Astyanax mexicanus: one gene and its partners. The protein of the gene in region 2 interacts with the protein of the main gene of each other region in a pairwise test. Links are inferred from orthologs where the notes say so. Each region holds a gene or a part of one and is shown on either strand. Other genes may lie near its edges.

Evidence for each region.
Region 1: the proteins of c19h1orf109 (region 2) and tfip11 interact in binary tests that used the Homo sapiens proteins (3 or more experiments, as listed by UniProt). The two-hybrid records come from large-scale screens. The link is inferred for Astyanax mexicanus from reciprocal best matches to the Homo sapiens genes AIRIM and TFIP11.
Region 3: the proteins of c19h1orf109 (region 2) and ppp1r12c interact in binary tests that used the Homo sapiens proteins (3 or more experiments, as listed by UniProt). The two-hybrid records come from large-scale screens. The link is inferred for Astyanax mexicanus from reciprocal best matches to the Homo sapiens genes AIRIM and PPP1R12C.
Region 4: the proteins of c19h1orf109 (region 2) and keratin, type I cytoskeletal 13 interact in binary tests that used the Homo sapiens proteins (3 or more experiments, as listed by UniProt). The two-hybrid records come from large-scale screens. The link is inferred for Astyanax mexicanus from reciprocal best matches to the Homo sapiens genes AIRIM and KRT19.

The regions. Positions count from the first base shown.
Region 1 is NC_064420.1:33,029,883-33,037,780, forward strand, and holds the start of tfip11 (tuftelin-interacting protein 11), read right to left. Parts: upstream 3,002-7,898; 5' UTR 2,912-3,001; intron 1,695-2,911; 5' UTR 1,691-1,694; coding exon 1,482-1,690; intron 727-1,481; coding exon 561-726; intron 17-560; coding exon 1-16. Other genes in the region: naca (nascent polypeptide-associated complex subunit alpha), read left to right, coding at 5,493-5,562. UniProt on the Homo sapiens protein: Involved in pre-mRNA splicing, specifically in spliceosome disassembly during late-stage splicing events. Intron turnover seems to proceed through reactions in two lariat-intron associated complexes termed Intron Large (IL) and Intron Small (IS).
Region 2 is NC_064410.1:53,551,193-53,558,691, reverse strand, and holds the start of c19h1orf109 (uncharacterized protein C1orf109 homolog), read left to right. Parts: upstream 1-4,485; 5' UTR 4,486-4,764; coding exon 4,765-5,033; intron 5,034-5,852; coding exon 5,853-6,032; intron 6,033-6,904; coding exon 6,905-7,023; intron 7,024-7,130; coding exon 7,131-7,171; 3' UTR 7,172-7,499. Other genes in the region: cdca8 (borealin), read right to left, coding at 385-420, 506-592, 694-823, 1,012-1,107, 1,206-1,285, 1,556-1,620, 1,715-1,790, 1,894-1,931 and 2 more. UniProt on the Homo sapiens protein: Part of the 55LCC heterohexameric ATPase complex which is chromatin-associated and promotes replisome proteostasis to maintain replication fork progression and genome stability.
Region 3 is NC_064412.1:31,240,528-31,248,160, reverse strand, and holds the start of ppp1r12c (protein phosphatase 1 regulatory subunit 12C), read right to left. Parts: upstream 3,005-7,633; 5' UTR 2,557-3,004; coding exon 2,351-2,556; intron 1-2,350. Other genes in the region: psmd12 (26S proteasome non-ATPase regulatory subunit 12), read left to right, coding at 4,709-4,816, 6,251-6,310, 6,427-6,555. UniProt on the Homo sapiens protein: Regulates myosin phosphatase activity.
Region 4 is NC_064410.1:31,872,302-31,879,396, forward strand, and holds keratin, type I cytoskeletal 13, read left to right. Parts: upstream 1-4,092; 5' UTR 4,093-4,151; coding exon 4,152-4,649; intron 4,650-5,067; coding exon 5,068-5,150; intron 5,151-5,243; coding exon 5,244-5,400; intron 5,401-5,522; coding exon 5,523-5,684; intron 5,685-5,806; coding exon 5,807-5,932; intron 5,933-6,021; coding exon 6,022-6,245; intron 6,246-6,382; coding exon 6,383-6,503; 3' UTR 6,504-6,596; downstream 6,597-7,095. UniProt on the Homo sapiens protein: Involved in the organization of myofibers. Together with KRT8, helps to link the contractile apparatus to dystrophin at the costameres of striated muscle.

The DNA of each region.
Region 1 (7,898 bases), on a different chromosome or scaffold from region 2:
TCTTAAAGTTCCCACCCTGGAGGATGTAAACCAAATGAATAGTTACAATGAAATCTATAAGTCTTAGAAAAGCTAAATAATATTGGCACAAGGCATTAAATATCAATATTTTTCCTGAAACATAGACATTGTAAACCCCCCAAATTTGACTTAATAAGGTTACTGCTTCATTACTCCACGTGGTGGCACTAATCAAATAAACAGGTTAAAAAATAATGGTTGTCAAAATCTGGGAAACTGACACCAATAAATCTATAATCCAAATCATCCAATCATTTCTGGTCTTTACCTTTTTTTTTTTTAAATAAATTTTAAATCTTCTTTAGTAATCCAGATGCTTTGAAATATCATAGAGAATTGTCTTGCGATATCATGGGCAACGTATGTATACCCAATTGTGTTGAAATATGTATCTTACAAAAAAGCATGATCGTAAATGAGACATTAGACCCAAATTGCCAGATTATATTCAGTGAAATTAGCTGTGAATGCTAGAATACCCACAAAGCAAAATGAAATGGCAAAAAAACAGCATTACAAATGTAAGTATTTTGCACTACCGTCTGAAGCTTTTTGGGTGCAGTAGCACGGGGTGGTGGTGGTGCTGCTGCTTCTTCATTCTCGTCTGAATCATCAGAGCCCTGCTGCTGTTGTTGTTTCTCTTCAGCTGCAGTCTTCCTCAGGCCAGCACTTATAAAGTTCACAGGGGCTGAGTAGTCCTTCGATCTACACAGTTTTTCACATATGGAGCAAAATTAGAATCTTCTCAGTGGCAAAAACAGAAGCAAACCATCCTAATGCTAATTGTTTTAGTTAGTAACTGACTTCAGTTATTGCTTATAGAAAGGTTAAAAGTGGTGGTTCTGGAAATAGGGAATTGGTAAATTATATATTCAATGAAAGAATAGAATGGGTCTAAACTGAAGGTAATAAATATTCCTACCATATTAACATCATCATAATAAATATATTAAGGATCATCAGGGTTTAAAGTACTCTGACCCAACTTTACATTTAATTACAAGGGGTGTAAATATCCTGTTTAATTGGATGATGTGCAGCAGAAGAGGTTTAAAACATTGTGATAAATATTGTGTCAGGAAAATATCTGTATTGTGTTATATTGAGATAAAATACTTTTACCATATTGCCCAGCTCAATCTGTGCATGATTAAATACACCCCAGGTGGTGACTTGTATACTGTTAAAATCTATTAAAGGTTTTATATCTCATTGACCAAAACATGACATATCACAATATAAATTTTGGTCATATCAAGCCCTCTGAGCATAAATGTTCACATTTTACATTTAGAGAGGGTGATGACAGATTTGCTATGTAAATCTTCACATTTTTCACACTGTTTATAGCAAACATTATGTATTAGCAAACCAATAAGTGTTTTCCTGAGTGTGGTATCAGAAAAAAAACAACCTCTAACCATAAATTAATTTTAGAAATTAAAGTAATGTTTGGGTACCTCTTGCCTCCAAAGCTGGGTCTTTCATCATCAGAATCATGTTCAGCCCATATTCCGTAAGTAGCCTCCTCTTTGGTCTGTCTGTGCCGACGTCTATCTGGATTAAACTCATTGGCCAAGTCCCATTCAGACACCTCAAACTTCTCAATCTCGACCCCATCCTCCTCTTCCTCTCCTCCTCTACGCCCATACAGATGGGACATAGACATTATTCTGCAGGAATTAAAATAGCACATACAATGAATGGCATTCAGTCGACTGGGCAATGTGACAGTACTGTTTTTTTTCTGAGCATACCATAGATATTATAGAACATTAACTAAAACGTCTTTTATTTTGATATTTTTTTGTGTTTTTACGTTTATGACATATCTCCCACTCATATAGATAATCTGCTAAACCACCAGCTAGATACGTCTCTACAGTTAATCAGAGAAAAACACATATCATTAGCTAGCTACACACTAACAGACAAAATTTGCACAATCAATAGATGAACTTCATCACAAGCTAGTTTCTGTGTTTCTCACTAGGGCACAACAGCAGCACAATAGTTGCTGAAAGTGGCAGTCAGAAAGCACAAGCCAAAAGTTTGGACACACTCTCATTTAATGTTTTTCTTTATAATTTCTTTCAGCAAGTATTGCTTGTTTAACACTTTTTGTTGACAAAATAATTGCACATGTTGCTGTTCCTGTACAGACTTACTGTCTTTAATATGAAATTTACAATGTAAAAAAAATAACATAAAAAGAAAAGAAAACACATTCAATGAGAAGTCCAAGCGTTTGATTGGTACTCTGTACCCATTTAATTCATCTGTTAGTTAAACATTTGGACACATTCCATTAGCAGGCTAGCTAGCTACTGACTAATAGAAACAATTAGCTACTAAATTAACAAACGAAAACTACATGAAAGAGGTTAAACCTACCTATTTTTGAGTAAGGCACAACTGCAGCACAAGAGTTACTGGGATATTATGTTAGAACCACTCAGCTTATTTACTAACTAGTTAGCTAAACTAGCTAAGCTAACTAGCTAACCTAGCTAGACTGAAGGGGAGGCTTTTTGTTTATAAAAGAGATAGCTAGCTAACTAACTAGCTTATTTATATTTACACAGCTGTTATTCACCCTAGAGGTCGTTAATCCTTACGGCAACCCGTTAATACGTCTAAATAGTATCTAATTCGGTGTGTGGACCCAGGTTAGCTAAATGAGCTAGCTAGCTTCACATTAGCTTGGTTAGCCAGCTAGCTAACCCACAACAACAGCGTTATAGTAACGTTAGCCCAAAGTTAGCGAATGCTAGCTAATCTCGCTAGCTAGGCCTACTGTTTGTGTATTACCCATCCACCAACAGAGACCGTTAGGTTAAATAATTTAATTTAAATCAGGAAAACGAGCACCAGCAGCAGCAGCACTCACCTGTCTGTGTATAGCGCTAAGCAGACAGCGCTAATCTTCAGCTATAAACTGCGCAGCTCCTTCCTGTCGGCCTGTCTCTGTACAGGAAGCGCGGTGTGTATGTCACAGTGACGCAGAGGTCAGAAACCCTCTCTCACAGCCATCTTGGACCCCGAGCCCAGACCTAGTAAGTGTTCCTTCTTTCAATCTTGTGGCATCCGAGCTTTCTACGCTTGCTTGCTTTGCCAGAACCGGCTAGAATCGTTGGGTAAAAGCTCTTCTCGGATAAGGGCTGAGTATTGGCCCGTTTCGCGTCTCCAAATATTAGATATTGTGGTTCAATGCTGCCGGCAGACTCTTCAAAATGGGGGAGCTGAGGCAGCGCCTTCTGTCTGGCTGGGCTGGAACATGACAGTTGTGTTTTTTAGTAATATAGTTAGTTATATATGTATATAGGCTTTTCTTAATGATTTTTAGTGAAGCTAAAATTCTTTAGAGTGTTTAGTGAGTGAGAGAGCCGGTTCGTAAGGTTGGCCAGCCAGCTAGCTAATGAACACTAAGGTCTGGGCTGCCTGTGAACTGGAGAGCTAGCGGTTAGCTAACTAGATAGGTAGCAGCGCTTCAGGTCTTGCTAGCATGTTCATGGAGAACATTTTAGATAGCTAAGCTAGCTAGTCACGTTGGCACATGGAAATGTATGTGTAGTATTTCGTTTTTTACAGTACCTAACGCTCTATAGTTCCTTTAGTACGTTAGCTAGATTAGCCTGAGTAGCCCAACGTTATTTAAAAGGCCAAAATAGTTAGCTAAACATGACTTAAAGCCCTTTCCCCAAGCACTTTAATACATAGGGTAGCTACTAGATCGTTAGCTAGCTTAGCTAACTAGATAGTTCGTAGTTTGGACTGACCTTAGGTAACTAGTTAGTCATGTTTTAATTAGCTAACTTACCAACGTTGTTACATTTACTTTTTAACCCTCAAGAGCTCAGACCCACTTCTAATTATTGAATTCAGAAATATATTCAGAAAAAATCATGTGAGTAGCTCATTCGATTATGTTGTCACTATGAGCACATGACTTCAAATATTTTAAGGTTAAAATCCTGAAAACACAAATGATTAAACAATTTCATAACCTGTATCCTAACAGTTTCTAGAGTTTGTGTTAGAACAAGTTAGCCAACTATACGGCTCTGGTAAAAATAGCAGAAAATGAGAAATGGCTGAAATAACAAAAAAAAATATGCAGAGCTCCCAGACCTCAAATAATGCAAAGAAAACAAGTTCATTTTCATAAAGTTAAGAGTTCAGGAATCTATATTTGGTGAAATAACCCTGGTTTTCAATATCCGTTTTCATGTATGTTCTCCTTCACCAGTCTTACACACTGCTTTTGGATAAATGTATGCCACTCCTGGTGCACAATTTAAAGCAGTTCAACTTCGTTTGATGGCTTGTGATTATTTCTTACTCTCTATTATATTCCAGAGATTTACAATTTGGTAAAATCCAAAAAAACTTTTTTAAGTGGTCTCTTTTTTTTTTCTAGAGCTGTATATATTCTAAAACGTCGAGTTAAAGCATTTTAAATTGTTAACTTAAATGGTGTAACAGCTGCAAGCTAAAAATCTACTTTTAAAAAGAGCTAGTTTTATCTTCAGCACATAACCCAAATAAGGTCAGATTCACACACACACACACACACTGTCCTGTAATGAACTTAATTACAAAGTTCAGTCACTTAGCAACTACACTTGGTTAAAATGACAGAATGCTGTAGGGAGATTTACACATCTTTTAAATGGTTTGTGACACAGCTACTTCATCATATGCTCTTTTGGGTTAACACATCTACTCTGGTTTTTAGTAGGCCTCTCACCAATGTTTTGGACAATATAACAGCTGTAGTCCCAGAAAATACTGCTAAAACTGCAATAGTTATTCCAAGCCATGTGTAATGCTACTGATTTAACCATAATGAAGCATTACACATTACATTCTACAGAGCACCGGACTTCTATTCTTAATGTTTGTTTACATATCCTAAATATATTAAACATCATTAATGTAAAACTCTTTCACATTAATGGGTTCTTCCTGCTAGCTAAGTAAACGCAGGGGGCAATACTAAGGTCAGCAAATATATTACGAGGTTATGTCAATATACAAATAAATACGTAAACCACTAGAGCTTTTGAGAATTGGCTTGTTAAAATAATGATTCAGCAAAAATGGGCAAGGATCACACCTAATGCTGTTCTTTTCCCACATGTATTTAGTTGAATTACTTGAGTGTCTGATCTTTGAAAATTTGCTTATAATATGACAACACTTGATGGTCAACTCAAGACATATATTCGATTATATCGATATATCGATTTGCATAATATTGGTCTTAAAGATATAATTTATTTCCCCCAAACCCTGCACTATTTGTTAACCATTGGTTCAGTTTAGTACAGCTTGTGTTAAAGAAATTTGTAACTTTTTAATCATTTAACTGATTTTAACTTAATTAAACTCTTGTTTACTGATTGTGTGAGTAAAGTTGAAAAAGTTTGCTCTTTATTTATGTATTTTTATTTTTTTTGTAGACAACAATGCCAGGCGAAGCCACAGAAACTGTCCCAGTGACAGAGCAGGAGATGCAGCAGCCCCAGGTGGAGACGGGTATGTAGTGCTCATTTATAGTAGATTGTAGACTAACCTCTGTGTTTAGGGGTCTTGGAGCTCATTTGCTGTAGATTGATTGATTTAAAAAAAATCCTGATGGCAGTAAGTTAAAGCTTTTCCTCTTAAGGTATTTACAACTAACTATGTCTGACACTTGGTCTTTTTTAACTCCTTGTCACCAGCTGTTGTGGACATTATTTGTGCAGCAGGTTTGACTGGTGGGTGGGGGGTGGTGTCGGGTTTTGTTGAACGGAGAATGCAAGTTTGGTTGGGTTAAGATGGCCGACCAAACCTTGTCAAATTTAGACTGAAAGGGATTATTTTTAAATTGAGTTCATCCAAGACCTCCTTTTCCAGAAAGCAAAATAGTTGCCTGCGATGCCTGTTGTTTTTATGACCACGAGGCATTGTGGTAGTGTTTTAAAGCACGTGTTCACTGTTGTTTTTGTGCATGGGATTTGGATAAGTCAACTGTGCATGAATCATTGTTCTATGGAATGTCAGTTTCTAACCCCTACACACTAAGGCCGGACTCCTGGTTGACCCTGGTCATAGAATATTTTTTTCTTTTGATGGAGAATCTCCATTCAGAATACTCTGTGGTCTAAGATAGGCTTCATCTCTGTCTGAGACTACTTAAAAAAATATTTTGTTTGGAAGCTACTCATTGATTTTCTTCTTTTACATTGTACGTAGCTTGTTCTTGATTTTAGGGTTTTTACACACTTAATAGTGAGTGTTTTACTGAAGCTGTGTTAAAACTTTAAAATCTTGAGTGTTCTTTTGGGTAGATCATTTGTTTTATGTATTGTGTAGTCGGTATACCTACAAAAACCATATCCCTTTTTTTAAGGAGCACAGTGTGAAATAATTTAGTCATACTGAAAGGGAGAATAGTCAAGTTTTATAGCTACATTGATAGCTTCAGTATTGGTTTAGTTCAGTTCATCCTTTTTTATGTAACCTTTTTTTGTTTTATTTTTTTCTCTTTTCTCCCTGAAAACAAACCTTGTACAAGTAATTCTGTTGGATTCTCGACTCAAACCCTACAACTTTGACTGCATATTGCATCTGCTTTAGAAAGGGAATGGTTGATGAATAGCCACTGACGAGAGATCTGTTTAATAAAAAAAATGCTGTGTGGTTACCCAAGCTAGAGGTCATTTCAGCAGTACTTAAATGTGGTAAAATGTACTTTTAGGAGCAACATGTTACTTGTTCTTTTTATAAAGCTGTTTTGGTTGACTTCTTGTCTTAAAGACCTTTCTTGTAGCATCACATATGGTACTAGCAGGTGTTGGACTTTCACCATTCTTAACTGTGGGCACTGCATGGTAGAAGTTGGACATGTTGGGCACTGTTGGCAAACTTCACCTTCCTCCACACACATTTTTTGAGTGGTATATGGGCACCAACTAATGTTTCACTGACAAGCCATTGTAAGCGTGTAAATAAATATACATATAGTTTTGTTAAATGTGTTTTCTGTGGATAGAAAACATTAATCACTTTCTGTTGCATATATAAGATTCTGTGTACAACTGGTCACTTCATCAGACTAGTATCTGGATTGTATCCTGTAAGATTTTAGCCACCAGAATTGTGTTTACACTTAGTCTGACCTTATGTGGCTATAATCCTGATACTCAAGTAATGCTGGGCGGTATACTGGTTCGTATGGTACACCGGAGAGAGATTTTGAAACAGTATGTTTTTTTTTTTTTCTCATACCATTTTCTCTTTACCACTAGAGGTGCTCCGGAGCTCTGTTTATATATGTAGAAGAAGCACAGTAACCTCAGCTCAGTCTCACGCTGGTTTGCCTAAAGAAACATGAGATTAGAACTCCTGCAGCCTCTGCTGTTATTTCTTGCAATATGAGTAACTAAAGCTGTGTTTAAATACATTAATTAATACTGTAGCTTAAAGGATAATATTAATGCACACCGGACTTAATTCATTTGTCAACTGGAGAACTAGGGGAATTATGATAAACTAATAAACAGCTCCTTAAATACTGTAATGTCTCTGATGGCTTCAATAATAACACACTGTAAATTGATAAACTTGTGTTTTACTTGTGCAATAGAGCTTTTGAGAAATATCTCCTATATACTTACATTGAGTATTTTAGGTTCATTTATAGGTTATGGAACTATTTAAGATATTTAGTTTGGTAAAAGATGTGTTAGTTGTTCTCTTTTTAAAGTCTGTTGTTTAAACTCTTCAGCTGTTATTTTAATAAAGTCTGATTTCTTAATATATTCTGTAATTTTGAGACAAAGTAAACCCAATAGTAATCAAAGTACTTCTGTACTTTATTTTAAGCCCAG
Region 2 (7,499 bases):
CACTTCACTTACAAACAAAAAAGGTCCATTGTTGAGTATAATTTCCTAATATACATATCCAGTATTAATTCACCTCATGAGTAATAGTATAAAATGAATACAATTAAGAAGAAAAAAAATCTGAAATCTGTTGCAAATGAATTGTATTTACAAACATATTACAAGACACCACATGTGAAAACACTACATGCAAACGGAAATATGTACAAATGTAAAATGCCCATGAAAATTCCTGACAGAAAAAGGAGACAGTATTTAAAAGAAATGCAAAGATAAAAGGATAAAACTAGACAAAGCTACTTTATAAACAGGAATAAAAGTGTGACGATTTAGGGTGGTGTCTGATTTTTTAAAAGAAAGGAAATGAGAGCAGAAGCAGTCAGGTCACTTGGATCCTCCACAGAGGGTTGTGAGTCGGCTCTGTGCAAAAGAAAACAGAACAGTAAATCATGTGTTTTACAGTATTTAAGGAATAACAGGCTTCCACTTCACAACAAATAAATACCTGCAGCTGTCTGATACTGCGCACCGCCTTCTCATCCAACTGGCTCAGATCAATACAGTCCATCTCACTGGCCAGCAGCTGAATACACTGAGAAAAGAGGAAACAAAGAGAAGCTGCTGTTATTTTCTGACTAAAAAATAAAAAAGGACACTTGAATTTTTTAGCTTGAGACAGAAGAAGCAACAAACCTCTCCACTTCCCAGAGGGACATTAATGACAATGTCCTCACTGCTTCCAGCAATAGGAGATCCGTTAACAGAGATGCTGTACACCTTCTCTCTGTGACGGGGAACTCGCACTGCAGGAGTCTTGGGCAACCTAAAAGATAAGAGTACATCATACTTAAATTCACATAATTTACCCCCAGGAAACAAACACTGACATTCCATTAAAGAGTCAACCAGGCAACCATGTTTAACAGTAGCCAGTAGCTGATTAAACCTGGCTGCTCTATTAACAGTTTCTTTTAGTCTGAAATTTGGCCAAATTAAAAATTATGGAGTCACCTGGAATCAAAGCGAGGCGTGATGAGTGGTGTCGGACCGATTATGGAGGAATCCAGGAAACTTCTTGCTGGGGTGACCAAAGGCTTTCTACTAGATCTGCAATCAAATAATAATTTACCGGTAAATGAACATTTATATACAATAGTTAATGGTCACCTAAAATGAGCAAAATGTAGATAAGAAATAAAACTTACTTTCTAATAGTGTTGTTCTGTTTGCTGACTGAAAGAGCTTTGGCTTTCTTTGAAGTTGAAGGTGCCTTCTTTTGCCTTCCCTGTGATAAACATGACAAAATTAGGGCAATTGTAAGCCATAGAATAAGGATGGATAAAACTTAAAAAAAACAAACATTTAGCTCTTTAATCTTAATTAAAAAAATGCAAATAATGACAATGATAAAACGAAGAGGGGGGGGGGGGGGGGACCAAACATATCTGAATATGGCAAAACAGAATATTCGCACCTTCAAAATACAGGACCACAAAATTGTTGCAGACCTGATTTCTTTGTTTAGCTACATAATATCTTAACAGTTTAGACTGACCTTTTTTGTCGTAGACTTGGGTACTAAGTTCTCTTCATTTTCTGAGCCTGAGCTGATCTTAGCAGCTATCAATAAACACAGAAGACATGATTAACATCACCATCACAGAAATAACTAAGAATAATATCAAAAACAAGATCAAAAGAAAGCAGTAGTTACCTTTTTTGGCAGACTTTGGAGGAACAGCATGATCATGAGCTATGGTCATCTCTACTTGTGCAGCCACCTCCTTTTGCTGCAAGCAGAAACAACAGATGAAAAATAGAACATGTACATCTCACACATAAAACCTTAAAACAGTCATTCCGAGATGATCAACAGTGGAAATGAGGACTTGCCTTGGACTCATCGACAGGTGCTTCTGGCTTTTCAGAATCTATGTAAAAGAATAAAACATAAGATTCAGAATGTCCTATAACAGTATCCCTTGCCTGTTAAAACACAAACTCTTAACACCTGGTAGATAAACAAAGAACACAATGTGATAAAACATGAATGGAATTATGTAGCTAAAATGGACGGAAGTGTGTATGTACATACCACAGTACTGAATCCAGTTCATCCGTCGCACTGACATAGGCAGCTTGATCAGAGCCATGTTGTACAGGTTGTCTGCATCCTTTAACAGATTGTTGGTCTTGTCCTTCATCCTCTCCACTATGGTGCGCACTGTGTACAAAAATCAATAACATTTGATGTTAAAATGTTACTGAAGCTGAACAGTCCCCTACTAAAACCCGAGATGAGAAACTACGACGAAATCTAACTACTTCCTGACACAAACAAGAGACTAATCTGGTGAAAGGTGAGCTTAGTTTTTGGGGCTAAACTGGATGTAGTAAAAAACATGAAGAGGCAGATACTGGCAAAAATGTCTGTCTGTGTAATGTTTTATAAAGTTGGTGGAAGGGCTTCTCTATGATCAGAGTCATACATTCAGCAACAGACTCCTCCTGTCCTGCTGTAGGTAATTTCTTCTTGCAGCCATGAGATTATACAGCACTGTAAATCTGTTTTTACCAATGATATTGCATTATCTGCACTGGACACTTTCCTTTTAATTATTTTGCCCAGAATTTTTAAATTCACAGCTACCATGCATGCATCATAGTAAGTACTCCAACTATATACTAACTACTCTGTGAAATATCAATACTTTAACACTACTACTTATTAATTATCTTCCAATGTATCCATCCAATCGTCCGTCCGTATCATTAAGGTCACACTGCCATTTGTTTGTCTAGCCAAAAAAACCCTGATCCTTTTCGTTTATAAATAATTGGTTATTCAGTTAAACATATCATACAGCAGACAAAAAAGTGAAATTAGGTTTAGAGGATTTACAGAAAGTGTGCAATAATTATTTAAACAAAATTAGGCATGTGCATAAAAAACATTTAACCAATAAATCTACATTGTATTTTGCACGAGTGTATGTAACTACTACTTATTTGTCAATCTATTCAATTTGTCGGTCCTGCTACAAATATACATACAGCTATACACACAAAAAAACACATTCTGCACTATATACATAAAAATATATATAAAATAAATTTATAGAAAAACATAAAACATGTCTGTGTGAATTGAGTAAAGGACCCAAAATAAAAATTACTTAATAGCTGTGATAAAAGCTGTGGAGCTGTGGTCTCCATCAAAATTAAATTTCCATTATTGTCATTTTCCTGTTAAAGGCAGTTCATTATACCAAAACACTAGCTAGAATTATAATACAGTATAGGTTTAACATTGGAATAATACAAAAATAATAAACAAAAGCTTAAAGCTCACATTTTAACCATATTTTAAACATTTTACCTGTTGGGATCCTCCCAGCTGGCATTTTAACTGTAGTTAGTCTTTTTTAATGCAAGCTAACTGCGTAAGCAGCCTTAAAGTTAACAATAGTCAATGGTTTTAGTGTAAACAATCTTACCTTCATCATCGAAGTCCAGAAGAAACGCTTCTAATTTCGGCATTTTTATATTCTTCTTGGTTTTAGCGTTGGTTGTTCGTTTTCTCGGAGCCATTGTGTTTCTGTAAGAAAGAAAGACGCAATGCTGAGGCTGACTAGCTAACTACTGTAGACCTGTAACATAACACTAGGCCAGATAATTACACGCTAAATGTTTAATTTTATGCACACTTAAACGTGTAAACATTGTGTTAACAACACTTCTAAGACAATATTCTTTACCTACCTGTTCTGAATTCTTTATATTCCTTTATATTTCCTTTTATTTTTGTATATTTTTCTGCTCCTTTCGCTGCTTTTCGACGCTCCCTAAACTGGTGGCGGTTGGAAGCAACACTTTTCAAATTCATTCGCGGAGCAGCAGCTCAACCAATGACCGGGCAGCTTCTGTATGCGTCTATTACGCCGGCGTCACGGACCAATCAGCTACTGTTTAAGGAACAATACAAAAAACGACCAATCGCTGAAGAGCTTAGTGGAAAGCATGTGTCATGTGTTTTGTAGCTTAGTCCGAAAAGATTTTCTGTCAAAATAAGAGCCCCCTTAAATGGAATAAAAAAATTGTAAAAGAAATACTATGAACTAGTTTAATAATATATAGAGTATAAAACTAATTAAAAGCTTTTTGAAACATATAAACGCATACATAATGTAGATAATAAAATAAAAAGTAAGAAATTGTACTAAAACAAGTATTATGTTACACAGTTTTGCGGAGATATAACTCTAATAATAAAAAAGAGACATTATAAAGAACAGTATGTTTCTTACTTTTTCTTTGATTATCTACATTATTTTATGCGTTTCTAAGTTTTAAAAAACGTTTAATTAGTTTTAAACGTTATATATTGTCAACCTAGTTCATAGTATTTAATTTACAGACTTAAAACAGAATTTTATTACATTTTGGGGGAACTTTTATTATGACAGAAAATCGTTTTGCACTCTGACTTGCATCAAAATGCTGGTGCTGGGTTTGTTAATAACTAAGCTAGCTAGCACGTGTTGGGTATTAGATGGTAAACATTCTTTAGAAGACTATAGAAAACATATAACTGGGTATGTTTATGTTTGTCAGATATGTGAGCAGGGATTGAGCGTTTAAATATATACATTGAGCATTTATATTTCATACTGAGGGTTGATATGTTGGTCAGATTAGCAGTATTGGAGCTAGCTGCACTCAGACAGGCGGTAATTTAGTAGTCTATAGTTAGTTAGATTAACTATGTCTCAGCCTGCACTGCTGCTCTTACAGCAGGAGCTAAGGAAATGCTTCCAGAGTGTTCAGGTGAACAAGGAGGTTTGGAGATCTGCTCTGGTCGAGTGTTCACCTCTGATCAGCTCTCTGGGGAACCTGGCCGAGCAGCTGAGGGCGCTGAAGAGTGTAGATCTAGCCAGCACTCCGCTCTGTCACTTTCCAGATCTACAACCACGTCTCCAGCACAAGCTGGCACAGGCAGTAGACACTGTCTTAGGGAAATTAAGTGAAAAAATGTAAGTTCATGCATATATACACTTTAACTTGTTGCTGTACATACAGTAACAGTCACACCTCTTTTCATTCAATGTGTTTTCTTTCTTTTTATGATTTTTTTACATTGTACATTTAATATTAAAGACTATATTAAAGCTGTACAGTAGATATGGCCCTAAAATAATATCACAATATTTCATGGTATTTCCATGATAACGGTACTCTTAAAGATATTACAAAATACTGCAACAAAATGAAAATTAAACTTTATCATTGCATTATTGCACAATATGATATTGACTTATTTTTACCTGCATTTCTAAAGCAGGGTAATGAAAAGGAACAGTCCTTTTCATTTGGCATAAGGAAAACAAACAAATATAAAACAAGTTAAATAAAAATTAACACACAAGATAAAAGGTAATGCAGACAAATATGTGTTCAAAAACAGTTTTTTCAGTTTTTTTCTGTAAAATAAACCTTTAGCTGTTATTTAACAAACCAATCACATTTGGAAGGCCAGAACTACATTTAAAAGTTCAACTTTGAATGTATGTCTGAAACCTACACCGATTTCTTGCACTGCAGGTTCTTGGTGAATTAAGTCTTCTGATTCTACAGATACATGCTATCAAGTATTTTATTCATAATTTCAAAATGTTATGTATGCTTTATACCTCTCTAGCTCATGTCTAGCAATTGGCGAATGCAGTGTATGTATATGAAATCCTGTACTTAAAGGAAGTGAGGAAAGTTTTTCCTGTTTTGGGTTATTAAGATTTAAACAGCGATGTTATGAATTTTCTCATCCATGAGTGTTTTGTTTTATTGCTCTGCAGAGAAACACTTCAAGGAGTTCGGGATTCCACAAGTAAGCAGGTGTTTGCAGTTTTCCAGCTGTATGAGCAGAATGCAGACTCCCTGGATCTGCACACTTGTGTTGCCAGATCTGCCACTTCTCCATCTATTGCTGATATGTTGGAATGGCTCCAGGATGCAGAGTGCTACTACCGTGTTCAGTATCCTAGACGTGCTAAGATTCATCAGTGGCATTTAGAAATTAACCTGACATTTTTCTTTTTATTTTATTGCTATCACCGGTCATGTTGATATCATAACATTTAAAACATTGAATTTTAGTTTTGTTTTACTATAATTGTTAATAGAAATGTAATAGCTTTCCCCTTGCCTTATCACATTTCAGATTATGATTTTATGTTAACCAGTTTGAAACAGCTAATTTGGTCTTTTCTCTGGTGCCAAATGTTACACGATAGTTCAGTCATCACAATAAAAATGGCTTTTTTAGTTGCCAAAACAACAATGCTGGGCTGTAACATACAGCTGTTTTATTAGCAAATAAATTATACTTGTTTAGACTTTGTATTAATTCTTGATAAGAGTCAGCATCGGGTGTTTGATTCTAGTCACAAACCTCACAACTCTGCAACAAAAAATGTAAGTAAACATGTGAATATTCTGACAAATCATGCCTTTTAATGCAACCGAAATTGTAGAAATGTATTAGGATGAGCAGCATCTGAGTCTCAAAGTCATTATAATTGTTAATGATATGGCGCTCTTGAACAATAGGGCTGGTCGGATTCTTTAGATTAGTCTAGTATTTCAAAATGATTTTACATTTTCCCTTGATTTTAGTTGTTTTTGTGAGCCCTTCAAACGAAAAACCATATGTCAATCAGTTATTTTTTTCTTTTTCATTTGGAACTGTTTTTACAATAAAAATACTTAATATTCAGATGTAAGTCACAAAGGCAGTTAAAATAAAATAACTTAGTATAGTAAAGAAAATAAATGATTTATTTTAACTTAATAGATTAGTGTGAAAAGTAGAAGTATGTTATATTATTCTCCTCAGTTACATCCTCAGATACATACAGAGGAAGAACCTGTTGTGGACCTTAAAGCCTGATGACCTCACACTGATGGAAGCAGCACCAAAGAGATGGGCATCTTTAGATTCTCCTGATAAAGAAGAAAGAATATCAGGTAAAATAGTTCTGCCACCAACAGATACTGAAGCATTCTGCTGTTTTCCCATTCTGCTCTTCATTATATAAGTTATGTAATGTATTTATTCTGTGTTCTTGTTTTAGATGCACTTTTTCAAGTGTCCTTCTTCATGGAGTCGGAGTGAACAGTGTTACTGAGCCGTGTGCTGGCTAACCACTTTCTGCCCAGCTTACGTCACTCAGTTACGAGCACCTGGCTGGAAAAGAAGTGTCACACTTTGCTGTAATTACCAGACAGAGCCTTAGTAACATGAGTTTCAGAGATGTGTCTGGTAATGTCTGACTCTCATCTTTGTGTGCTACAAACTTGTGAGCTTGTGATTTGAGTTTTCAAGAACTTTAGTGCTAATACTTCATTCCATTTAAACTCAGATCTCGGGATTTCCGAGTAGGAAATTTCAACTGGAATGCCTCAACAAGACTGATATCCCTCTTAAAAAGTCAGGAGAGTCG
Region 3 (7,633 bases), on a different chromosome or scaffold from region 2:
ACAAAACAAGCTAAACAATGTATACTACACACCCAGAGATTATTTAAAAGCCATTTTTCCATTTCATCTTAGCCAAGCACTACACCAAAACGAAACCATGTGGAGCTTTCTGTTGTTCTTTATCTCACTGACCACGTTATCCTGAGTTCCATGCTTGTCATAGCTCGTTTCTGACCCCCCATTCCTTTCCTTTAGTATTTCAAAATGTCATCCTCTGTTTTTAAACGACTGAGTTTCAGCCGAAAGATCCCAACCAAGAAACCAGACCCATCTAGTGCACTAATAAAACTAATATGTGACAGGCTCCTTTTCATTTATGTATTTTCTGAACTTGTATTATCTAAAATGCCACAAATGCAACAAATTACACCACATGAAGAAAAACATCTATCACTTTATTATATCATCTTATTTTTGATAACATGGGATTGTTATGGTTAACCCAACATATGAAAATCGCAGTATTACTGATAAACAAACATGGGGGTGTACTGTACTGTAATTATAATTTCCGGCACAAGCATTTTCTCCTCTATTGTATTATGTATATTGTGTTGTAGGACAGAACACTGTGGGCTTCTTTCTTGTCAGTATGGAAGTCCACTCCCAACTGGAGGGTGAGAACAAAAACCTGTGTTCTTTCTCTTCATTTTTACTTTCTGTACTAAAATTCAAACTCCCCAACTTATTTATTATGTTGTTTCCCATAATAACAATTTAATATCTCAATATTTTACTATCTCATAACTAGGAATGGGTAAATTTTTTGATACAACGAGACGAGACACAGCCCATGATGGAAAGACAGCGGCAGAAAGGGAGAGACAATTTCGATACCCATAATAACTATCAAATGATAATGATGTTATCTTGTGATAATGATATCTCATTATACCAGCTTACTATTTAACAAAAATGTATAATCTTATGACAATGACTAAGTAACTCATAATTAGTAGCTAATTGTAATGGCTTAGTATGTCACAAAGAGATGTGATTATGATTTCATGATAATTACTTCATCTTGGGATAATGGCTTAGTATCTCACTGAAATCCCTTGCTATTTCAAAACAATGACTTACCAAGCATCTAATGTAATGGCTTAGTAACTAACTGTAATAGCTTAGTATCTCATAAAAAGGCTAAGTATCTCATAATAAAGATGAAAATCTCACGATAATGATCTAGCATTACATCACGGCTTAGCATCTCATAATGCTTAGTATCTTAATAATGAATAACTATATAGAATGGCTTGTCATCTTATGATAATGGAATAGTATTTTATAATAAAGAATTATAATCTAATGAGAATGACATATATTTCTTGTGACATCATGTGACTTAATATGTATTAGAGCTGAACACTATATTGATTTTGACAATAAGCACATCATATAAGCATATCAATAAGGGTACCATAAGTACTTAATAAACACAAAACTAAAAAATTACATAGGAATCACAGTACTATACATGAAAGGGCATTTGAGTAGCAGAATATTAGAATCTGATGCAGCTGATGCATTTGTCTGTGACAATATATGATAAATGTGTATTGTGAAAATGTCATGTGATATAACTTAATAGTAAATGATAATAAAACCATATCAACCTGCTCTTTCAGTGTGTGAATACTATACTATAATTACGCTTTTATATAGAATTTTATTTCTATTTGTTTCCCATTTTCTCCTTAATTTACATGGCTAATTACCCAACCCACTCATTTGGACATCACTAGTGATGCCCCAACACCACATGCCTCCTCTGGCGCATGTGAAGTCAGCCTCTTTTTGCCTCTTTTTGAACGGCTGCTGAGGCAGCATTATCGAGTAGTCAGCGTGCTCGGAGGAAAGCGCAGCGACTCGGTTCCGATACATCAGCTCACAGACGCTTTGTACTGATCGATACATCACCCTATGTGGGGAGAGAGCGCCATCTACCCACCCAGAGACAGCAAGGCCAATTGTGCTTTCTCAGGGCTCCGGCAGCTGATGGCAAGCTACATGACCTGGATTGGAACCGGCAATCTTCTGTTCATTATAGAGGCAGCGCTTAGCCACTGGACCACTCGGAGCTCCTAATTACACTTTTAGACCTAATATCAATGTATAGTATGTATTGAATACAAATGGCTTAGTCCCAGAGACAACAAAAATAGTAAATTGAATCTGTAGAGGAGTGATCCTGATTAGATAGATAACGCTACCTGGCCTGAAAGAAGACACTGGTTGCTCAACCTCTGGCTCTGCTGTTGACTAACAGCCTGGGCTTTAGCCTCGCTGCTGTAAAGATGAAGGAGGCCGTGTAAATGTGTTTAAAAGATGTTGAGATTAATTTAAAAACCTTCGTTTAATCTTCTTTTTCCGCACAGGTCCGTCTCCATCCCGCAGTCTCCCCTCCAGAACCGCCTCGCCTTCATCCTCGTCGCCCTCCTCCTCCTCTTCCTCGCCCCTCCAGCGCCTCCGCGGAACCGCCGGTTCTTGGTCCGTACAGGAGCCCGACCAGCGCTTCAGCTGCTCCCGGCGCTGAGCCTTCGCTCCGTCGCCCATTTCTCCCGAGAAAAGGCGCTGTATTTACCCGGACAGAGATACGCGCTCACTCGGACACACCCTCCATGGCGAGCTGTGTTTACGCGCCTAGCAGAGCCTGGCTAAGCTAACAGGCTGCTGCTGCTGCTTCCTTATTCAAACGGCCGCAGAGGAAGTTTGAGGGGTGGCTAGGCTAAGCTAACACAGGTTAGCCAAGCTAAGTTAGCTAAGCTAGCTACTGCTGCTGCTGCGAAGCTGGACGTGAACTACAAAGCCGTAAAACGGCCTGAAATTCTCCGGCCCGCACAGACCTCTCTAGACCGGCTCTGTTCGCGGACTCGGCGGCGCTCTGACAGGAGCACATAGGTTTAATAACGCGGACAGAACCATTAATAAAATCAAAGCTAGCTGTCACCGGCTCCCCTCTTCTGTCATTAACTCAGAGCACCGCTTGTCAAAACAAAAAAACGACACTTTCTGATGTAACCGCTAGAGGGCGCGCCAACATTTGATCATTCGGTTCAGGCGGTGCATCATATTGTGCTTCCCTGCACAACTCTGCACCCGAAGGACCCTGTAGTTAGTAGCTTATCCTGCTTGCCTGATTTATAAATCATAATGGAAAGATTATACTACAAAAAAAAGGCCCAGATAAAAATTAAAAACCAGACACCGTAACAATAACATCCTGTAATTATCACCAGAGTTAATATTTTGCTATTATGTAAATATTGTAAAACAAACATTGTCTAAGTTTGGAAATTGTCTATTACTAAAACAGTGATTATATTGGAAACCTTTAAGAAATATACGTATGTGTATGTGATAAATTATACATTTACTGTTTTAAAATATATAAAATGTAAATAATATTTTTGTAGTAATAACATGTGAATTACATGTACACTTCTGTAATGTTTGATTTGACGCTGTGGTTATAGTACATACTTTTCCTTATAAGTTGCCTGATGAAGTTCCAAATAAGTGGAGTGAAAATGTATTTGTTTTGGTACAGTCCTTTTTACTGGATTTCTGCAATTAATCGAATGACATTGCCAATGTTGCTAATAATTTTGAAGACAACATATTCAGTGATACAATTGCTCAGTTTTTTAGTGCCTACAATTAATAAATCCAGCTCAAGCCAAGAAGGGAGTTTTGACATTCTTAACTCTTTTATATGACACAATAATGACAGATTGGTGTTATTAAATTAAAATGTACAGGTTTATATACCCCCCCAAATATCAAATTTGATTTGTCTTTACTTAACAATAATAGTTCAGTACGTGGAACTGATATGCTGTTAACCTCAAATATTGGTATTCCTCCAGCAGATCCAAAACAGAGCTGTGACAACGGCAGTGTGCCAAGTCCTGCTGGAAAATGAAATCCCCATCTCCGTAAAATCAGTCAGCAAAAAAAAGTCAGCAGAGGGAGGCATGAAGTGCTGTAAAATCTCCTGGTAGAAGCTGCACTGACTTTGACCAACACCAGCAGATGACATGACTCTTCAAACCATCACTGATCATCAGTAAATGTTGCATTTCATTTAGAAATCAAGGAACCAGAGTCTGGAGGAAAAGTGGAGGTAGAGGTCTAACGTGGTCCACTGTGTTATGTCAGTGCAGTGTTTTCCTGGAAAATCGTACAGCACTTCATGCTTCCTTCTGCTGACAAATTTTATGGAGATGAGGATTTCATTTTCCAGCAGGACTTGGCACACTGCCCACATTGCCAAAAGTACCAATTGGTCTTATATAATCTTAAAATTTTCTGAGATACTGATTTAGGCGTTTTACTTGGCTGTAAGCCATAATAATCAACAATAAAATAAATAAACGCTTAAAATAGATTGCTCTCTGTGTAAATGAGTTTCACATTTTGAACTGAATTACTGAAATAAAGTAACTTTTCAATTATATTCTTTTTTTCAGATATTGTCCCTGTATTGAGACCGGAAGCCAGGGGGAGCAGAATATGCAGGGAACTTGTGAAAGCACACCACCTCCTGGCGGCTGTAGCTGTAACTCGGTGTATTTCCGCAGCGGCGACCACAGAAGAAATAGGTTTCGTCTGCAGCGCTTAGCTGTGTAGCACATTAGCAGCCTGTGTGGAAGGTATCGGGTGAATTTGTTGTTCTCTTTTAAACCACAGTTAAATAAATATAAAGATGTCTGACGACAGGTCTGAGAGGTCGGATGGCAAGATTGTGAAGATGGAGATCGACTACAGCTCGACTGTAGACCAGCGTCTCCCTGAGTGTGAGAAAATGGCAAAAGTGAGTTGAATGAAACGGGAGTTTAGCGGCTGAGTCACGGTGCGGAGAGTGAGCTTAGCATAGGCTAGCCTAGTCTAACATTGTATTACATCGCACTGCTTAGCCTAGCCTGAGTTAGCTTAGCTTAGCTTAGCTTAGTGGATTTTATTTAAGTTAACGAATGTGTAGCTCCAAGCTGGCTACTGTTACGCACCTATTTACACTCCTTATGTGTAATAAACTGAAATATGGGCTTAAATGTGACCAAAATGTTAAATATAGTAGTTAGCTACTAGCTGGTCATAGTGACACTATAGTGCAGACTTGCTTTACAGTAGGTTAACTGTAGTTACAGTGTTTATAGTCTTCTGCTCTTAGGGCTTACTTAAAGGGTTACGTCTATTTACTGCTAATAAAGCTATACGCCATCAGTATGAAAGCTGTTTTTCCTCCTTTCTTTACTGGAAATCATGGATTTGGTTCTTGTCTTTAAGCAGATATAGTAAGAGAAGCATTAGTTAGTGCACATTAGTTCACCACTAATGAAAATATCCAGTAACAATACTGTTAACTACAGTGATTTGTATTAGAATTGGACTAAAATCAGCAAACCAACTTATTAACCAAATACATGGTCATTGTTTTAGCTTTGTTTTGTGTTTTGAGTCAGTCCAGGCCCGATTTCCTACATTCAGATGCTCATACATTGATGGCTTGTGATCATCCATCTTCCTCTTGATTTATATTTCAGAGGTTTTCAATTTGGTAAAGTGGTCCCTTATTTTTTTTCCAAAGCTGTATGTAGTGAAGAGTTTAAAGCAAAACATAACTATGTAAAACATCTGTAAATGAAATCCAATTCAATTTACTTCAGTTCATATGTGTTTATATAGTGCTTTTCACAAAGATTCTTATCAAAAGCAGCAAAGTCAATACTTCTCTTTAGTAGCCTAATTAAGAAAAATAATCCTTCAGATAAAAAGGAAGAACTCTTAAGAGAACCTGGGCCCTATCTTGCACCCTGTGCAAGGGGCATTGTGATGCTCATGGCTATCGTACACCCCGCAAACAGTCTATGCCTTACACTTGCATCGTTTAAATAGCAAAGACGCTTAAATACCAATCCGCCAAAGTCAGAGCACAGCTGTCTCTTAAATAGAATGGCAAGTGACTCTCTGATATAGATTGCTAAAATAGGGCTCTATGTCTTCCTCAGATTGATTGAAAAAGCACTAGAGATGCAATGATGTACAAATACATACACATTTTAAAGTAGCTAATGGAGTTGTAGTAGTGTAACCAACGTCTGCAACTATGTCGGCATCTATCGATGCTGAAGAAAAAAAAAGCAGTTATTGGCCGATACAAATGTGCATGGATGTGCAAAAGAGATCCCAATGTAGGAATGCACTGTAATTAAGTTGTTAATGTATTGTTGCTTTTTCATCTTGTCAGGAAGGGAGACTTCAGGAAGCTGTTGAAGGCCTGCTGTCTCTGGAGAAGCAAACAAGGACGGTTAGTCTGCCTGTTCCATCACTCTTCACCTTACTCGACAAATCATATTAAATGAAAAATGAAACAGTTATATAAACTTAAGCTGTAATGCCATTCGCCTTTTTTCTTACATCCAGGCTTCAGACATGGTGTCCACATCCAGGATTTTGGTGGCCATAGTGCAGATGTGTTATGAGGCTAAAGACTGGGATTCCCTGAATGAGAACATTATGCTGTTGTCAAAGAGGAGGAGTCAGCTGAAACAGGTGAGAAAAGAATGCAAAACGTTTTTACATGCCATTTATATGCATTCATGTGTGTATTTATGTAGTTAAAGACTGATCTTTAGGAAATTAGAGGGCTTTTCCATCCTATCTTGTTTGGTCAGGACCTTTTGGACTTTTCAGTTCGTTCCGAACCAAAGTAGCAGGTGTGCAATTCATTCCAGGACCAAAGGACCAGAGTTTGGTTCAACCAAAAGAGATTGCCTTAGTCCGGATCTACTGAACCATAGTCTGGTTCGTCTGCAGCATGAAAGCACTTTTCTAGATTGTTCAGATTTTTTGGACCAATTACAGAACACTGAGGCAGTCTTAAAAACAATCAGTATGGACACGAACATTTAGACTGAGAATAATTTATTTACTGTAACATTAGATTAACACAATTGCAAACAGAAAAAAGGAATATGATGATGATAATTTACACTCTTTCTGCTGCGGGGTGCAGGTGAAGGGGAGTTGGATTCCCCTAAACAAACGGGACCAAAAGTATACCATAAAACCAAACACATGAACATGAAGACATGAACTTTCATGTCTGAAAACATCCTTAGTTGTGGCATGATATGATCTCAAACTGCACAATGAATTGTTTTCATTTTTGGTACATTTCAGAATGGGGGGGAACTAAATACCAAAAGGACAAATTCATTTTGTTAGAGTACATCTGGATTACCACCCTTCTTTTTATAGGATTATTTGGCGTACTTTGTATGAATCTTGCTGAAGAAAAAAAAAAAACAACCTGGCCAACTCAAGCTAATCAAACGGGTAAAGACTGATCTAGTTTTTGACCAGCATTTTGGTGGCAATCCTGAAAAGGATCAAACAGTGTAACAAAGCATGTTGACCATCATACCGTATATTTTTGTTTAAGTTTGGTGGTTTTGCTGGTCCAGTAACATGACTTACCTAACCAAGATGAATGACCAGCATCACTGTAAATACCATACTGGATGTATTGTTGATGATTGTGATGGACTAGCTATTTCATCAAGCATTCAAGACCTAAACTGGTCAACCAGCTGGCTTTTCAGCATAGGATTTATTTCCCCCTGATGAC
Region 4 (7,095 bases), about 22 Mb from region 2:
AAACATTTTAGTTTAACGGGAAGTCAGATTTAGGAAAAATGTCTGTTCAGTTTTACATAAACCATAAACCAATCTGCTGATGTTGGCTTCTTCCACATATAGATTCATAGGTTGTCTCCGCCCACAAAAAAAAGAGGTGGCTCATTACTGAAGAGGACCTGCTACCATTCTAATCGCGACTGCCCACCAAGTTTCATTCTTTCTTTTTTTATTCCTTCTTTTTTATTGGCTTTTGGCTGAAAGCGGTTTGATGACAGTGCCCATAGCAGTTCTATAGTAAAATTATAAAGTAAATGGGTGTGTAGGGCACTGGGATTAAATTATGCAGCACCGCCTGCCAGATGGCAGTATTGTAAACAGGTCATGTGTAGTAGGCCTATTGTCTAGCCTTATTTAATGGGGTTCCCCAAGGCATTGCAACTTATAGATGTATGTGTGTGAGTTGCTGCCTATGAAAATTTCACTGTCCTTACCATTGTCTGGTGGGCCTCTGTCATATATTGCCTTTACAGAGAAACCCTGACCAGCTCTTTTTTTTTTAAGAATGTGTCTGGGAGATATTCTGACACTCAGCTTTGTTCAACACTCTACTAAAACATCCTCATTTCAGCCTCCCTGTCCTCCCAGCATTAACATGCATCCTGGGAGATCTTATCATAAGTGGTTAGCATAAAGTACAGGTGTGAACGGGAAACAATCAGTCCTGATGACACATTTCAAGCCTTCAGAGGTGGTTAGAGATGCATATTGTTATTGTAGTGTTATTATTATATTATTATTGTAGTGTGACGATCAAAGCACCACCCACATTAACTGCGTCATGCTGCCCCTGCTGAACCAAGCTCATGGCAGGGTGTCTATGAATTCTTCAAAAGTCAAATTTTGTTCTAGAAAAGGGTTTTACTTGTCTTTAAGTTTCTTACATTATAAGTAAGTAAAGGTCTAAAACATAATAAAACTAAAAACAATTTTGGCTTTATTTTAATGTTTTTCATTTTCCAAATTCCATATGCCTCAGTTAGCTTAAATTATTTTACTGATTTAACAGCAGACTGTAATAAGCAAAGCCAATAGCATTATAAATGGCTCAGAGGGTTGCTATTTTCACATACATAAATTACTTTCTTTTAGCTAGAGGAGACAGTTCTCCAGGAATTACTAAAAACAGTAGACAGTAAACTCCAGTTTAGCCCCGGATTTGGTCGAAATATTGGTTTGTCATAAAAATACAAGAACCACAAGCTGGGTGTGCTGAGTGGTCCAGCAGTTTTAAGTGCTGCCACTATGACCAGGAGATCGTTGGTTCGAATCCTGGTCATGCAGCTTGCCATCAGCTGCCGGAGCCCTGAGAGAGCACAGTTGGCTTTGCTCTCTCTGGGTGGGTAGATGGCGCCCTTTCCCCTCTTCCCTCGTAGGTTAATGACGATCAGCACAAGGCGTCTGTGAGCTGATGTATCGGTCGCTGCGCTTTTCTCCGAGCGCACTGTGATGCTACTCGGCAATGCTTCATCAGCAGCAGTTTGAAAAGAGGCGATGTCTGTCTTTCTGATTCATGTGCTAGTATTCACTCTCCTTGTCTTGTGGCATCACTTGTGATGGAGGATATACAGTTGACTAGCAGCTGAATGGGTGGGACAATAGCCCTAGCTACATTGGAAGAAAATAGGGGAAAATGTACATTTAAGTGAGTGTTTTGGGCTTTTAGACATAATTATTATTGGGAATGTGGTCTTAATTTGTATTTGAGTGGTATTAAAATGTCTTAAATGTAACTCTACCAAACCTGCAGCTAACCTGTACTGGGTAAAAGTGATACTTGTGACTGGTGTCCAAGTGAAAATCCAGGCAAAGAAAACAGGAAGACTCCTACTACAACGAGCTCAGAGAATATTGTGAGAGCGGCTGTGTGTTTTTGCAATCATTTGTGACTGGGGCTTAAGGTTCTGTTTCATCTGGTTACCATGTGGATCCATAGACTAGTCAGACCTGGCAGCACAGGCTGTTTAAGCAAGTGAATATAGCGCCTCCTATTGGTGTCTGAATCTGTATCTATATACAACAGACGATCTGTTGATTCCCTATTTTGGAAACATATGTAGTTACATCTCTAGTGAGCACAAACTTGAGAAACATATATATGAATATGAATTCATGCCATGTTTACAAATCAGCCTTTAAACAGGTTCATTATTCAGTGTGGACCCCCATAAGGACCCCTGGGGTTCAAAAGAGAACTGATGACATTCTTGACTTTTCACCTCACCTTTTCACCTCACATAACTGGAGTAGAGCAATTTATGACAAATGACCTGCACTATCTGACCCACTCTTACTTTCCTCTGCTTATGCTGAGTGGGTGTGGACACCTGCAGCCCATAAGCATATATTGAGTGCATGCTTATGTTTACTCAGACTCATGCATGTGTGCACAAACCTGAAAAGTGTGTTTCTATTCATGATACATTCACTGGTAAGACTTTTAGCAGCAGTGATATATTTTACTTTACAGTATCCTGTATAAACTACAGTCATATCAGTTTTGTTTGGTTGTTGTAGATAAATTGCAATAAAACACATTGATGTTGAAATATCAAAAAGCTCCAATTCGTCCTAGTGTCCAATTATTACTGAACGTAAATGGAACTCTGAATTGACTATAACTGAAATGTTAGTAACAAATAATTGTGTTAAATTCTTCACATCAATATAAAGAAACTCATTGTGTGGTTTAACCACATTTCAATGGTTTGCAGTTAAATTGTGCATTATAAAGTTTTATTTTTGTCAGTGTAAATGCTTATTTTTCTTCCATATTTTACAATTCCCTCCAACAAAATTACAAAGTACAAAGGGATAAAACAGTGCAAATATGTGCAAATATTGGACGAAAAAAAAGTCTATCTAGCAAATCCAATGTAGTGCCATGCGAGCCACCAACCGAGCACAGTGCAGCCTGATTTTGGGTGTGTCAGTGTCTCTTTGATATCATAGTTATGGGAAAAATACTCCTCGCATGGCTTGAAATGCACAAAAGGCATGTACTAATTCTCTTAATTAATCATAGGTGTTTTGGGTACAACATAAAATAAACCTACTAGCATATCACTTGCCTCACATTCCCTTTAAGAACCAGGTGTGCCCTCTGACTTTGGCAGATTGGCACTTCTGCACTTCTCAGCAGAGGAAACTGACCAGGCTCGTGCACACTGTGAAGGTAAAGCAATGTTATTTTATTTTGTGTTAATTATGTTAATGTAAAAGTTGGGTCGTGCAGTGCTGCTGCCCAGATAGCAATAAACATCTGACATTTCAATGTTGAATGCAGGGTTTTAATAAGTCAGTGGCACACCTGTGTTTTCCATTTCCCATTATAGCAATATGCCAGAAATGTACCTATGTGTACATATATATTTATAAGCGCCTTTGCTATTTGAACAACACTGGTGGAAGACGTGAAATAAGATGTGAGATAGGCCCCTGAAAGTGTTCAATTTTGACACTCGCAGCGTTAATTTAACACTATTAAATATACTGTATAGTCTTTTTTTTACTGGTTGTCAATAATATTTTAAGAAGGTATTTATCGTTCCTCCATAATAGATAATGCTCCTTTCCCAACTAAATTGTGCAGATGCTTCTTGATATCATAAATGTTTTATTAATACTTAAACCTGCAGGTGTAATATAGTCTTCTATGAAACTATAACTAGTGTAAGTTAGCTGTATCACCATACAGACCCTTAGGGGTTAACGGCTTATCTACTGAATGTATCATGTTTAGCAGATTGACTTTACATAACTCTGAGCTGAGGAAAGTTTCTCTGTGAGGATTTATAACTGACATTTTGGAATCTGCTGTATTATTACTTTTCAATGCCTTTGTTGGGTGGGTGTAGACACCTGCAGCCCATATGATTTGTGGGAGTGTGTGCGTGTGTGTGTGTGTGTGTGTGTGTGTGTGTGTGTGTGTGTGTGTTTATGGACTCTTGTGCATGAGTCTATTTGCCTTCAGGGGTTCAATAATCCTCCTCCTCCTCCCATTCACTCTCATTTATTCCCTCCCCTCTCAACCTGTATAAAAACTCACCATCCCTCACTGCTGCACTCACTCCTCTTCAGCCAGAGCAGACTGACAGAAACCCTTCATCAACATGAGCTCCACCTACTCCACTCGTGGCTATTCCTCAGGGGGATCCCTGATTGGAGGATCTGGTGGCTCAATGCGCATGTCTGCTGGTGGAGCCGGAGGCCGTATGGGTTCCATGCGGTCCTCTAGTGTGTATGGAGGTGCAGGAAGCAGTGGGGTTCGCATTTCCAGTGGTCCTGCTCTCCTCCGTTCAGCTGGAGGTGCCGGAGGCGGCTATGGCTTTGGTGGTGGTGCTGGAGGAGCTGGAGGTGGTTATGGCTTCGGTGGTGGTGCCGGAGGCGGCTTCAACATGTCCGATACTGTTGATGTGTCCGCCAACGAGAAGGCCACCATGCAGAACCTCAACGACCGCCTGGCCACCTACCTGGAGAAGGTGCGCTCTCTGGAGAAGGCCAACGCCGACCTGGAGCTGAAGATCCGCCAGTTCCTGGAGAGCAAGACATCACCCACAGCTCGAGACTACTCTGCATACTATGCCACCATCACTGACCTCCAGGGCAAGGTATGTTGAGTTGTTTTGGTGGTCTTAAAGGACCCTTTAAAGTGTAAGATGGGTCCATTGGTAGGTCAGGACACTCTAATGATCTGAGTTTCTCTCAGATCATTAAACTTATATTGTAAACTTATATTGAGCAATAAGCAGATGTTTAGGCCGTTCTTCTGTTTACTTTACAATGACTGAAATGTTTCTGGGTTGACCTCCTTCCATTACCGTATCAGTTATTCTGTATGAGTATAGTTTCCATTAGAGTGTAAACCACACCCAGTGCCTACCTCAACCCACCATTCAGTTAGAACATAAAGCACTCCTACACAACTCTAAAGAAGGGCTCATCTCAAATAATACCAAACAATGCAGAAATACCACTGACCTTTCAATGTGACTTAATGCTAATTTGCTTCTTTATTCTTTCTTGAAGATCCAGGATGCCACACGTGTCAATGGAGGCATCTACCTTAGCATTGACAACGCCAAGCTCGCTGCAGATGACTTCAGAGTCAAGTAAGTCCAAAAAAAACAGACGTAAATCTTAGCATTCCTCATAAAACTGAACATTCTTGCAGATTTTTGATCCATCCATCATGTCTTACACAGATACGAGAACGAGCTGGCGATGAGACAGTCTGTTGAAGCTGACATCGCTGGGCTGAGGAGAGCTCTGGATGAGCTGACCTTGGCCAGGTCCGATCTGGAGATGCAGATCGAGGGTCTGAGGGAGGAGCTGGTGTTCCTCAAGAAGAACCATGAGGAGGTGAGTGTGTCAAAAAGCCAGAAAAGCCAAACTGACCTGCAAATATACTTATGTCATCATGTTGCTTTAAGTCAATGGTTTGTTTGACACTGTTTGACACTGTCCTTGCCTTGCATCTTCAGGAACTCTTGGCTGTGCGCTCCCAGATGAGTGGACAGGTCCACGTAGAAGTAGACGCCAAGCCACAGGAAGACCTCAACAAAGTCATGGCTGAAATCCGTGAGCACTACGAGGCTGTCGCTGCCAAGAACCGCAGAGATCTCGAGGCTTGGTTCCAGGCCAAGGTAAATTAAAGCTAAAAATACATATATATATATAAGTTTTGGGTATTTCTCTGTATTTTATAAACTGCGAACCTTACTGGACTGTTATAATAGTTTTTTTGTTTTAACTTTATTTTTCATAGACCGAGACCTTGAACAAAGAAGTCGTCAAAAGCACAGAAACCCTCCAGACAAGCCGGTCAGAAATCACAGAGGTCAAGCGCACACTGCAGGGGCTCGAAATCGAGCTTCAATCACAACTCAGCATGGTATGTAACTGGCAGAACACATTCGCCTCCAATCAAATTAAAATAATCTGTCCTGGAACACCATTACCAAACTGATCTCTCCCCAACAGAAAGCCTCACTGGAAAACACACTTGCAGACACGCAGGCACGCTACTCCTCCAAGCTAGCTGGCTACCAGATGCAAGTATCCAACATGGAGGAGCAGCTGGTGCAGCTGCGCGCTGACCTGGAACGCCAAGGTCACGAGTACCAGATGCTGCTGGACATCAAGACCAGACTGGAGATGGAGATTGCAGAGTACAGAAGACTGCTGGATGGAGAGACCAGTGCCAGGTGAGTTTCCACAGCGAAATAGCAACATTTATTGTATTACGCATTTTTCTCAGAATTTAGACTCAGCAATAACAGCATTAAATGTTTTCCTTTTAACTGACTGGTCTTTTTTTTCCTCAATCTTTTTACCTGAACAGCACAACCGCGAAATCGACCTCCAGCTCCAGCACAACCCGCAAAGTGGTGACCATCGTGGAAGAGGTGGTGGACGGCAAAGTGGTCAGCTCCAGTTCCAAGGCTGTGAGTGGGACCTTGTGAACAAACTCACAAGTACAGCAAATACGAGCACTCTGAGCATCAAGAAACCCATCGCTACCTGATGCACAAATCAATAAAGTGTTCAAAGCATTACTTAAGCTTATGAGTGTGTTTTTCAGTTATTCTGCTTATGTTATGGAATATAACGATGGAACGGGTTGGGATGCTGGAATTTGTGTATGGCCTAAGGTACTACTTGTAGAAATCATTTGGGAAAAACTATGAAAAAAGGATAAGAATGATCATGAAATGCAAATAGTGTAAACATGATTAAATACATACATTTATATTCTTAATAGCCAACATAACAAGAATGTAACTATGATAGATTTAGGGTACAAGCTCATCCTTCTCTGATTGACACCATAGCACAAAATACACTACAAAAGCATAAAAAAGCATGAATGCCACATACTCTCAACTTTGTTTGTTTATTCAAATAATATTTTTTATCTAGATATGTTCATGTCGATAACAAACAGGGGGGTAAATTCTTAAGCGTGTTGGGGTTTAGGGTTGGGATCAGGTTTTGGGGGTGATGTTAGGCTTAGGTTTTGGGATAAGATAAATATAGTGATCATGGTGAGGTTTC